Macaca mulatta: one gene and its partner. The protein of the gene in region 2 purifies or fractionates together with the protein of the main gene of each other region. This does not show direct contact. Links are inferred from orthologs where the notes say so. Each region holds a gene or a part of one and is shown on either strand. Other genes may lie near its edges.

What was found.
Region 1: the proteins of KDM5A (region 2) and SIN3B purify together in Homo sapiens (affinity purification with mass spectrometry; 4 studies listed by BioGRID and IntAct, with this or other methods). This does not show direct contact. The link is inferred for Macaca mulatta from reciprocal best matches to the Homo sapiens genes KDM5A and SIN3B.

Annotation. Positions count from the first base shown.
Region 1 is NC_133424.1:17,353,820-17,360,094, reverse strand, and holds part of SIN3B (paired amphipathic helix protein Sin3b), read right to left. Parts: intron 5,506-6,275; coding exon 5,298-5,505; intron 4,975-5,297; coding exon 4,834-4,974; intron 4,177-4,833; coding exon 4,060-4,176; intron 2,843-4,059; coding exon 2,604-2,842; intron 1,904-2,603; coding exon 1,720-1,903; intron 1-1,719.
Region 2 is NC_133416.1:1,163,019-1,169,393, forward strand, and holds the start of KDM5A (lysine-specific demethylase 5A), read right to left. Parts: upstream 3,606-6,375; 5' UTR 3,382-3,605; coding exon 3,217-3,381; intron 211-3,216; coding exon 133-210; intron 1-132. UniProt on the Homo sapiens protein: Histone demethylase that specifically demethylates 'Lys-4' of histone H3, thereby playing a central role in histone code. Does not demethylate histone H3 'Lys-9', H3 'Lys-27', H3 'Lys-36', H3 'Lys-79' or H4 'Lys-20'.

The DNA of each region.
Region 1 (6,275 bases), on a different chromosome or scaffold from region 2:
GCCAAGCACGCTGAGCCGGTTCCTAGGAGTCTGCACGCTCAGCCCTGTTCCGGGCTCTTCAGTGTGACCTCCGCCCTCTGACCGCTTCCTAAGTCCCCCAGGTCTCATTTATGCCATAAACCCTGAAAATTCCTTTACAGTCCCCTCTGAAGCACGATCCCCATGTCTGTGACCCGTAACCATGCTTTGTAAACTGTGTGATGGAATGGGGGTCTGACTTTGGAACTCATCAAGGACCTGCATGTGCAGAGATCCGTCAGGCCAGGGGGCCAACCTTGGTGCCCCTTGCCTCATCAGCCCCAGCCCCAGGGAGGGACCCAGGAACTCGGGGTCTCATTGGTGGATTTCCAGGGCTACTTCATCATCTGCACTTTGCAGACACTACAGACCCACAGAACCTATGCAGGGTCTTGGGCTTGGGGATCCACCGAGGACTAGAGTGAGGAAGCCAGAGCGGCTGTGGGTAGGCCTGGGGCGAGGGTGGCCCATGGGGAGGGAGGTGGGAGGGAAGGGGGTCCCCACAGTCCCACAGGCTCTGGGAGAGGCCTTGGGCCAGCAGCCTGGCTCCTGTGGATTCCGTTTCTATATTGTAAAAGGAGCGACCGCTCACTGTGCAGTGACGGGAGCAAGACACCAAATCAGGTGAGGCACCACCCCCTGCCCAGGTGGGCACCAGGCTGACAATGCAACCCGTGCCGTGATCTGGGCACTGCCTGGGGAGCAGCGTGCCCTCCCCAGCCACCTCCTCAGAGTGTCCAAGGACCTTCCCGACAGCTGGCTGTCACTATGCCCAACACCCTGCCAAGCTTCCCCCTTCAGGATCCTGCAGGCAGGCACTCCCTACGCACAGCCACTAACAGGCCCAGTTCCTGGCAACCTGAGGGTCCCGCTGGCCTTGGTTCTGTAACTCAGGCCTTGTGAGCCTGCAGTGAGGACGTGCAGCCGAAAGCCTCGAACCCACTGACTCGGAGCCCTGGCCCCCTGCGACCAGCCCAGGCAAATGCAACCTCTTGTGCCTCGGTTTCCCCGAGGAATAAAATCAGAATAATGACGCAGCAGAGTCAGGTTCAGGAGTGAGGTCAGATGATATATGACTCCTTCTGCATTGCTAACACCAGTGCCGGGCACAGTCGGCAAGAAAGAAATGAAGGCTGCTGCCACCTGCCATCTAAGCTGAAGTCCGTCACTGTCCCACAGGAGGGACAGAGATTTCTCCAGACAACGGCAGAGTTGGCCGAGCACGGTGGCTCACGCCTGTAATCCCAGCACTTTGGGAGGCTGAGGCGGGTGGATCACAAGGTCAGGAGTTCAAGACCAGCCTGGCCAACATGGTGAAACCCCGTCTCTACTAAAAATACAAAAATTAGCCAGGTGTGGTGTCACGTGCCTATAGTCCCAGCTACTCGGGAGGCTGAGGCAGGAGAATCGCTTGAACCGGGGAGGTGGAGGTTACAGTGAGCTGAGATCGCACCACTGCACTCCAGCCTGGGCGACAGAGCGGGCGAGACTCTGCCTCTAAACAAACAAACAGACAATGGCAGAGTTGCTGGTTCTCCTAGGGCAGGCCGCAGGCTGGGCATCACAGAGACATGAACCCTCGCCTCGACACAGCAATGCCGCTACCCCACCTAAGCACCAGGGAAACAGAGGCACAGACCTGGCGGTCGGGAGAGCCAGGATCCCACCCCCGCCAGCCGGCAGGGCTAGGGAAGGCTGTACCTCGTCGTAGACGCTCTCGATCTCGTTGAGCAAGCTCTTGGAGCGCAGGGCCTTGGTGTCATTCTGCTTGAAGTTCACAGCCTGGTGGTCGAGGGACTTGAGGTACGCCTTCTCATACTGCTCCCGCCAGATCTTGTTGAAGCCCTGCTGGGCCTCCCGCCACTCCTCTTCCTTGGCCTTCAGCCTGTGGGGAGAAGAGGGGTCAGCACCAGGGACAAGCCAGGGCATCCTCCCTGAAGCATCCCAGGGCTGGCCTGTCTTCCTCTGGGACTTGACTGGGGGCCCAGGATCCAAGCCCAGCCAGCTCCCAGCCTAGTCTATGCAGTGGGCTCTGTGCACGTCAGAGGAAGGGCGTGATGGCCTTACAGAGCCAATGTGGCCAGCTTCCTGGGTCCTCCGCCTCCTCCCAGGCACCCAGCACTCTCCGCATGGCTGCTAGCTCAGCCACTCAGGTCCCTTGCTCAGCTGTGAGTCCCAAGAGGAGAGGGACTGGGTCTGCCTCACTCAGCTGCGTAACCCCAGGGCCAAGCATTGCACCTGCCTTAAAGTGGCCACTTGATAAATACCTGTTCACTAGCACCAGATGGTGTCCGAGATGCAGCGTTAAATAAAATGCAAGCCACAGTGTAGTGGTTGCATCTGACTCTTAAAGCAGTTTAGATGTCTAGATGTGATTATGTGCAAGGTGGAAAGTCCTAGAAGGTCACAGTGCTCTCCTCTCAGGAGTGGGAGACTGGGAAATACAGGAAGCCAGCCCTAGGCCTGAGACCTCCCCTGGAGATTACCCCTGTTGACAAACAGCACTAACAAGCTCTCCAGGGGCTCCCTGCGGCACGGAAGGGAAGGGAAGGGAAGGGAAGGGAAGGCGGGATGCCGCAGGGCACCTTTTCAGGACAACAGGGACAGCGGTGACGGGGTTCTTCTTGAGGCTCTCGATGATCTCCGGGGCCTTGTCGCCATAGATGCGATAGATGGCACGGCGCTGGATCACCTCTGACGTGCCCCCGAGGGAGTCGTCCAGCCGGAACTTCTCCTGGTCTTCGGGCGCCATCCGAGAGAGCTTCTTCTGCACGCTTTCCAACACGCGGATCGTGGCCAGGTTCGTCTCCAGGACAACGTCTAACTATGGAAAGGAAGGCAGGAAGGGGTCAGCCACTGGGGAACTCAAGAGGCCTCAGGGAGGAGCCTGGGACCTCAGAGCGCAGAGGATTTTTGGAGGGGGGTGGTGTGTGTGTGTGTAGGAAACAGGGTCTTGCTCTGTCACCCAGACTGAAGTGCAGTGGCACAATTACAGCTCACTGCAGCCTCAACCTCCTGGGCTCAAACGATCCTCCCACCTTGGCTTCCCAAGTAGCTAGGAATATAGGTGTGCACCACCATGCCTGGCTAATTAAAAAAATTTATGGCCCGGTGCGGTGGCTCACGCCTGTAATCCTGGCACTTTGGGAGGCTGAGGCAGGCAGATCACAAGGTCAGGAGTTCGAGACCAGCCTGATCAACATGGTGAAACCCCGTCTCTACTAAAAATACAAAAATTAGCCAGGAATGGTGGTGTGTCTGTAATCCCAGCTACTCAAGAGGATCGCTTGAGGCCAGGAGTGTGAGACCAGCCTGGGGAACATAGTGAGACCTCATCTCTACAAAAAAAGTTAAAAAAACAACAACAACCTGGGCATGGTAGTGTGCACCTGTGGTTCCAATTACTCAGGAGGCTGAGGTGGGAGGATCATTTGACCCTGGGAGGTCAAGGCAGCAATGATCCATGATTGTGCCACTGCACTTTCAGCCTGGGAGACAGGGCAAGCAAAATAAATAAATAAATAAAAGTTTCTTTAACGTAATTTAAATTTATTTTTATTTTATTGCCCAGGGTGGAGTGCAGTGGCTTGATCTCGGCTCACTGCAGCCTCGGCCTCTCTGGCTCAAGCAATTCTCCTGCCTCAGCCTCCCGAGTAGCTAGGATTACAGGCACCCGCCACCAAGCCCGGCTAATTTTTGTATTTTTGGTACAGATGAGATTTCACCATGTTGCCCAGGCTGTTCTCAAACTCCTGAGCTCAAATGATCCACCTGCCTTGGCCTCCCAAAGTGCTGGGATTACAGGTGTGTGCCACCACACCCAGTCCAAACAAAATTTTTAAACAGAAAAAAAAAGTGCCATCTGGTAGCCAGCCCAGAGGCCAGCAAGACCCAGCAGGAAGCTTCCAGGAGCTGCTGGAATGTGCTGCAATCCCTGCTCCTAAAAGGAGACTGGCACAGTGGAGGAGGATCAGGACGCATGTCCGGTGGAGAAGGGGGACAGGCATGTGCTGGGAGGCCTGGCCACAGCACCACACACACCTCGAAGCGCTCGTCCTCACAGCGGTGAAGTTGCTCCTCGTACGGTGTCTTCTTAGAGCTGACGAAGGTGGAGTCCTCAGACCAGGAGGGGAAGGAGACCCAGGTGTCATTCAGTACCTGCATCGAGAGGAAACGCCATGAACGGCGCTGCATGCCCCAGGAGCTAAGATTTACTGTTAGCCAGTGTACAAAGTACCAAGATACATAATACAATCCTGATTATATGATAGGCAACTGCCTTATACAAATGGGAAGGTGAATCAAGTTTTTAAGGGAAAACATGACTTTGGTCAAGTGAACACTCCCTTGGTATCCTGGGAGATTGGTTCCAGAACCACCCCTGGAGACCCAAATCCACAGATACTCAAGTCCCTGATGTCAAATGGAATCCTATTTGCATATAACCTATGCAAAATCATCTCTAGAATACTTATACCTAATGCAATGTAAATGCTGTGTAGATCATTGTTACACTGCATTCTTAAAATGTGGATTACGTTTTATTGCTGTACTGTTATTTTTTGGTTTCTCTCTCCCCACCTATTTTCAATCCATGGTTAGTTGAAACCACAGATGAGGAACTTGCAGATATGGAGGGCTGATTTCATTTCAGATATTGGTAAATTTTCTCTGCAAAGGGTCAGAGAGCAACTATCTCAGACTTTGCAGGCCATCCCGGATGAATACTCAACTCTGCCTTTGTGGTGAGAAAAGCAGCCACAGGCAATATGTAAATGAATGGTTGTGTCTGTGTGCCAATAAAACTTTATTTACAAACACAGGCAGCGGGCCAGGGCCCATGGGCCAGAGTTTGCTGACCCCTGCACTATATCCTGGAATCCAGCAGGTACTCTTGAACTTGGACATGCAGTAATCGTCTGTCCACGAACCCTGGAGAAGTGTCCAATGGTCAAGCTAAACAGAAACACACTGAGGTCAGTGAGCCCGGGACGGAGCAGAATCATGGCAGCAATAAACCTAACTCAAATAACAGATGAATAAGTGAACTCCACATTATCCCTGACACTCTGTGTTTTGCCAAAACTACCAGCAGGGTACAACACTGTTGTCTCTGCTCAGGTGGTTTTGCTGGGCCACATCCCAGCACCACCCATAACCCAACATTCAGGAGGGCTGAGCACACAGCATTTCATTCAAAACGGGGGTATTGGGTGTTTGCTGGGGAGGGGTGGGGGATGCACCATGTCAGCGAACATGTAAGCCCCAGGGAGCGCTACCTCCTTGCAGATGGCCGTCCTCCCGCTGCACTTGGGCTGCTGGTAGGTTTTGGGGAGTGCCCGGTAGCTGGATCCTATGCGCTTACAAGATGCATAGTCGATTTCCCGGCTTATCCCGTCCCCGGATCTGTCGCTCATGGGTGGCGCGAAGGACAGCTCTTTTACCCCTAGGAAGGACTTGAACTGTGCAAACAGCTCTGGAAATTTCCTTCAAAGATAAAGAAAAATGGTAACTGGTCATCCCTTGGGCCTTCTGAGAGGGATCTGGAGATTTTAGAATGGCTTCATGTGGACATTACAGCTTAAACAGAGTCAGAATTCAACATCATGGACGCAAATGAGAGGCGGAAGAATCCAATACACAGGAAGTCACTACAAGTCCTGAGGTGTGTGAATGAATGGGCCTCCCACCCCTCTGTCACACACCAGGTCCCTTCCTGTGCCTATTGACCCCATACTCACAGGGAGGCTTTGAAATACACCAGAAAAGATGACTTGAACTGGCAGAAGCTGGAGCCCATGACGTTCCCTGACTGGAAGAGGCCAGGGAGCGGCAAGCCACAGCCAGTCTGCCCACTGCCTGTGTTTTGTTTGGTTTGGTTCTTTTTTTTTTTTTTAGAGAAAGTGTCTCACTCTGTTGCCCAGGCTCAAGGGCAGTGGCATGATCTCAGCTCACTGCAACCTCAAACTCCTGGGCTCAAGAGATCCTCCCACCTCAGCCTCCTCAATAGCTGGGACCACAGGCATGTGCCACTACGCCCAGCTAATTTCTTTTTTTTTTTTTTGAGACAGAGTTTCACTCGTCGCCCAGGCAGGGGTGCAATGGCACAATCTCGGCTCACTGAAACCTCCACCTCCTGGGTTCAAGCTATTCTCCTGTCAGCCTTCCGAGTATCTGGGATTACAGGCACGCACCACCTGTAAATTTTGTATTTTTAGTAGAGATGGGGTTTCACCATGTTGGTCAGGCTGGTCTCA
Region 2 (6,375 bases):
AACATCAAGTAACTATTCAATACCAATTAACACAAACTCCAGGCTGTGGTCCATGAGCTTCTCAAAGTTCTCTACCTACAGCCCGAACACAAAGAATGAATCAGGAGGCAGAAACGGTGACAAAACACTTACCTCAAGTTCATTCAGGCGCTGGACTCTTGGAGTGAAACGAAAGCTTTTTACTTCACAGGCGAATGGAGGCTGCCAGTCCTAAATAGAAAGTTTTTTTAAAAAAAACACAGTGGTATTTAAGCAAGGAATGCGTTATTTATTCCCTTAAAGGGGGGTTTTGCCATAATCACGGTGCTAATAGACTAACTTATAAGACTTCTTTATTATAGAGACAGAATGAGCAATTCTTTTAGATAAAATAATTTTAATACAGGTTGAGTATCCCTCATCTGAAATGCTTGGGACCAGAAGTGTTTTGGATTTCAGATTTTTCCATATTTTGGAATATCTGCATATACATAAGGAGGTATCTTGGAGAGAGAAACCAAGTCTAAATACAAAATTATTTTGTCTCATATAGTTATACACATAGCCTAAAGGTAATTTTATGCAATATTTTTAATAATTTGGTGCATAACGCTTGTGTACACTGGACCATGAGAAAAGAAAGGTGTCACTAACTCAGCCATCCGGTGTGGACAATCTGTGGTTGTCTGGCATCACCATCATTTCTGACTGTGAATTCTTACATGCTACCAATAAACAATCATTTCCTTACACTTATTTCCACTTAAGTAGTTAACAGAAAAAATATGACATACCATTAATACAATGAAAAAAATAATCTATTCAAGCTGGGTGCAGTAGCTCATACCTGTAATCCCAGCACATTGGGAGACTGAGGCAGGAGGATCGCTTGAGCCCAGGAGCATGAGACCAGCCCAGGCAACAAAGCGAGACCCTGTCTCTATAAAATAAAAAGAATAATAATGTTTCAGGATAACTTGGTTTCAGATTTGGGAGGATTTCGGATTTGGAATTTTTAAAGTAGGGATGGATGCTCAACCTATATTACCCAGAGAAGCAATCCTCTTCAAACCAGTCCCACTGTTTATCTCCCACAATTATGCTTTCCCAAGTTACTCAAGTGGAATTCAATGAGGTCATGTACCACAAAACGGTGTCTAGTAAACATTCAGGTTTACCAAGATCAAAAAAAAACACCAAAAAATTTAAAAAACCAAAAAGGGTAAAATTAAAGATTAAAAATAAACTTTTTAAACTTTTTCTTTTGTACTGTATGTGTAACGCGACAGAGCACTTTATGTTACACAAAAGTTTTGTTCAAAGCCCAGCTTCTGGGAACCCAAATATTCAACAACAAAAAAAGTAAGCACACACACAGAACAAGGACAGTTTCCAGACTGTGATATAACTAAAATCAGAGAGCATATTTCAAGTGGGGTCTAAATAACACAGTTTGATTTGGCCTAAATAACAGAATAACAGTAAACCTATTTTAAAACGTGAGTAGTCAAAAAAAAAAAAACAACCCAGGAGGTGGAGGCAGAAGTGAGCCAAGATCGTGCCACTGCACTCCAGCCTGGAAACTAAAGAAATTTGCCAATACTAAAATTAAATTCTGATTGTAAACAAGATTTATTTTCAATAATGTGACATAAAAAGAGAAAGCATTATTTCAACATTTTTTAAGTTAAAAAAAACTTTTTTTTAATCGAAGTAACCGTGAATAGAATTTCTAATTAATAAATTCAAGAGTAGATGAAAATACGACTTAGGAAAACCTTCAATGCTTAAGATTTGTTAATATTAGCTAATTATGATAGAAAAAAGGGTTAAATGGAAGTTTTTGGAGGATGGCAATGCATATCATCACAGCAATTATTTGTTAATCCTCTGCTTGCAACGAATAGTCTATAACCTTAAACTCATTCTACATAGAGCATTATGTCTGTTTCAGAATCAGAAAAACCGATCTAGGTTCAAAATATACTTTGCCACTTGCCCAAGATAACCCATCTGGTGTTTTAACTTATCCAGATTAATCTTATCTGTAAAAGGTGGACTTCATTTACCTATCAGGGCTTCAAAGATTAAAGCAAACAATCTATAGGTGTTAAATTAGCTCCTCCTCGCTGTCATTTAAGTTTTTAATTCGCTGCGGTGCCTATCACTGTGGTAGTCAGTGGTGACGGCAGATGCTTTTTAAAATGCAACACTGGTTAATAGTGCTTAATATTTTATCATTACCAATACTAGACAAAACATAAAGCAAAATGCCTTTAAGAAGCAATGACTAAAGCAATGGTTCGAAAACCTCAACTTACATGAAGAATCATCTGAGACTAGTTGCTAGAAAAGCAGATTCCAGAACTTCCACAAGAAGCCTAGAGATCTGCATTTAAATAAGCATCCAGTTGACCCAGGTGCAAGTGGTCCCGCAACAGCATTTAAAAAGCACTGATCTAATGAGTAAAGAAAAACACCTTTTGACCTTGAGCATCTCACTCAATCTCTTGGGGCATTAATCCCCTCCACACAAGGGATAGTACCTACTTTCCTTACCTCAATGTTGAGATTATAATTAACCTTATAGGCAAACCTAGTTATCTGCAATAACTGTGATTCTAAAATCGTTGATCTTGAGTTCCCTATGTCAAGAGATTTCAACATTTCCTCCCGCCTCCATTATAGATGAATTCTTCCTAAACCTCTCAATTTTAGAATTATTGCTGCTCCTCTTTCCCCGGTAAGACTTTCTCACTGCAGCAATGATTAGTCTGAAGTTCTATGTCTATAATACCATCTGGTGGAACTAGAGCTCAGATTACCTTTTCAGAAACCCTAGCCCTGAGAGGAGGCCTGCAAATATTTGATCCAATCAGGTCTTGAATAGAGATAGCCGACTATCAAACCATAATGAGGATACGTGAGGGAAGAATGTACTTTAATTAAACCTCATATTGGCTAACGAAGGGCTTTAGGCCCACAGCGGAGAGAAAAGTATCAGTTCCCAAGTTCGAGGCGGAAGACCCCAGAGACACCACTTTCTCGCATTCAGACGTGTCTACATAAGACCACAAAAGAAACCGAAGCAGAAACATCCAGAAACAGGCTCCGGTTGTCTCAACATAAAGGAGAGTACATACGAAAGGAGAGAAGGATCGGAAAAGTAAGGCTAAACCCAGTGCACGGACTCCCCCATTCTTCCTTCTCCCCCTCTCTCTCCACAGACTGAGGTACCTTGGGCGGCCGAATTTTGCAGATGCCGGTTTTCTCCGCCAAAGGCCGGATGCGGCCGATAAAGCTGAGCGGATCTGTGAACTCCTCCCAGCTCGGCTCAAAGACGGGGCACTCCGGGGGCGGCACGAACTCGGCCGCGTAACCCCCCGGCCCCACGCCCGCCATTGCAGCGGCCGGGGGGGGGGTCCCCGTGGGGAACCGGTGGAGAAAAGCTGGCTGAAGCCCACTGAGCCCGTTCACGTCCCCTGACTGGGGCCGAAGCGCATCTTCGCGGAAAAGAACCGCTCAACACAGACACCCCAGAACCGCTTCCTCCTCCCGTTTGTTATTGTTTCTTGCAAGGCTTTTCCTCTGAGGGTCAGGACTTTTCCGGAAGTTACTGTGCTGTCAAATCCCTCCGCCCCCGCAGGAAACGGAATCCTTCCGCAGCGGCGCGACGCCCGGGTATCTGGCCCTTCCTCCTTCTTCTCTTGCCTGGCAGCCCGGTGTGGCTGTTTCTCTCCTTGCCTGCCAAAGTTCTGCCCAGTCCAACGACTCCACGCGGCTCGCCCTAGGTAGGGGGTCGGGGAGAGGCGCAATCTCTCCTTCACTAGAGGTGGGGATAGAGCCAGGCCGACGGGGCGAGGCGAGGCGCGACGCGTTCTTCCGGCGCGGAGGAATGTGTAATGCCCCAGAGGGCAGAGGTTGTGCTTCCGGTGAGGAGGGTCCCTTTCCCTTTTGTGTGTCGGTGTAGTCGAAATCACGCAGGGCTTAGCGTTTGCCCCCCAGCCTCGCCGCCCGTGCTTCGTGATTTGTTTTAACCTACCCTGCTGCGTTTCTAGCAAGTAGCCGTTCCAGCATTTCTCTTTTTTTTTAGCCCTTTGAATGCAGGTATTTTACAGTAATCTCACTCTGCCACTTTATACCCGCCTCTTCTCCAGGAAAACAAGTGCAGGTCTAACCCATCCCCTAAATCCTGCCAGCTGGCTTTAGCCACCATCCAGGAATTGCTTTTCCTTTTACACAGAACACAGCAGCTCTTCTGAATTACCAGCCAGTACTGTCTAGCTACCTACAGGACATCTCACTCTGATAACTCAAAGTACTTTAATTGGTCACTATTTCTTCAGTGTTCCTGGTTTCATTAATACCTTCATCTATTCAGTTGCCTGAGGCAAAAAAAAACAATCAAGAAATAGTCCTCATGCTTTCTGCTCTCACTTCCCATGTATAATCGTGTGTCTCTCCATCCTTGTTACCAGTATCCTAATTTAAATACTCTTACTGACAACAGCTCATTTCTTTTCTCCTCTGAAATCCCTCTCCATTCTCAAGTTGGATTGCTTTGTCTAAAATCCAGAATTCATCTTGTCACTTTTCATCTCCAAACTGAACAACTCCAAACATCTTTTTTAATTGCTGATTTGCTGCTTTACTCTCCAGCTTCATCTCTACTGCTTCTCCATATGATCTACAGAAGTCTTTGTTGTGACTTTAGTACACCATGATTTTTCTCACCTCTGAGCCATCACACATATTTCCTCTGTCCAGAACATTTTTGTACTCTGCTGACCCAAAATCATTTGTATCATTATATCCCCTTCCTAAATTTCTACTCATCCTTCATTTAAATAAATATGAAGGATTAGGCTGAGCGAATCTGTGAACTGTGAACTCCTCCTTCATATTTATTTAAATAATATTTATTTAAATAATAATAAATAATATTTATTTAAATAAATATGAAGGATTAAATATCACTTCTAGATAGCCTTTCCTAATCCCAAAAATTGGTGTGGTCAGCAGCAACTTGTACTTCCTTGTCAAACTTTTTGAAATTGCATATTTAATTGCCTTTTTCCCTCAAACCGTAAGTTACACAAAGGCAGGGACAGTGTCTGTCTTGTTTTCCCAGCTCCTAGAATAGTGGTTGGTGTATAGGAGGTGTGCAATAAATATCTGCTAAATAAATGATTCACAAACCAATTTGCCTTGTGTGCCGTTGCCTCGTCCTACATTTACGTATGCCACGTTTTGTTTGAGACTGTACCAGCATGTAACATACACAATATCCCTCCTCTTGATTATAGCATCCACAAAAGTTAATGTCCACTTACTCATAACCCCCAGCCTAAACCCACAGACACTTTCGCAGATAGTTTGGTTTCAGTTACCTTTTGTTGTGTAACAAATCACCTCAAAACTTAGTGGCGGAAAATAAAAACGACTAATGGCAATTCGGTGGGTTAGCAATCTGGTGTTGTCATGGCCTCACCTGGGATCACTCCTGCAATTATATCTGACAGCTTGACTGGTATGATGGTTAACCTGATGTTCAATTTGGCTGGGCCATGGTGCCCAGATACGTGGTCAAACATTCTACTGTTTCTGTTAGGGTATGTTGCAATGAGATTAACAAATCAGTGGACTTTGAATAACGCAGATTGCCCTCCGTAATGTGAGTAGGCCGTATCCAATCAACTGAAGGCCTGAAAAGAACAAAAGACTGACCTTCCGTGAAGAAGAAGGGATTTTGACAGTAGATGGCTCTCAGCCTTGAACTGTAGCATCACCTTTTCCCTGGTCTCCGGCCCGCCAACCCACCCCTCAGATTTTGGACTTGAAAGCTCTATAATCAAGTGAGCCAAGTCCTTAAAATAAATATCTTTATAAACATACACATGCACACACACATCCTGTTGGTTCTGTTTCTCTGGAGAACCCTGAATACACTAGGGTTGGAGGGTTCAAGATGGCCTCACTCATGTGTCTGGCAGTTGGTGCTGGCTATTGGCTGAAAAGTCTTAGTTCTCCACATGGCTTCTCATCTTCTTATGGTGGATGGAGCTTTTCCACTGCATGGTGGTCTTAGCATTCTAAGAAGCAAAGACCTAAAACCTAGACTCCAAAATGTACAAGATCACTCCATCATACTCTGTTGGTCGAAGCAAGTCATAAGACCATCCCAGATTCTAGAGGTGGTCAAATAAACTCCAATTTTTTATGGGAAGAGTGGCAATGTCACATTACAAAGGGTGTGGACACAGGAAGCTGTGATTCATAATAATTCCATACAATTATAATGATTTACGTCCGGGTGCAGTGGCTCATGCCTGTAATCCCAGCACTTTTCGAGGCCGAGGTGGGCAGATCACCTGAGGTCAGGAGTTTGACACCAGC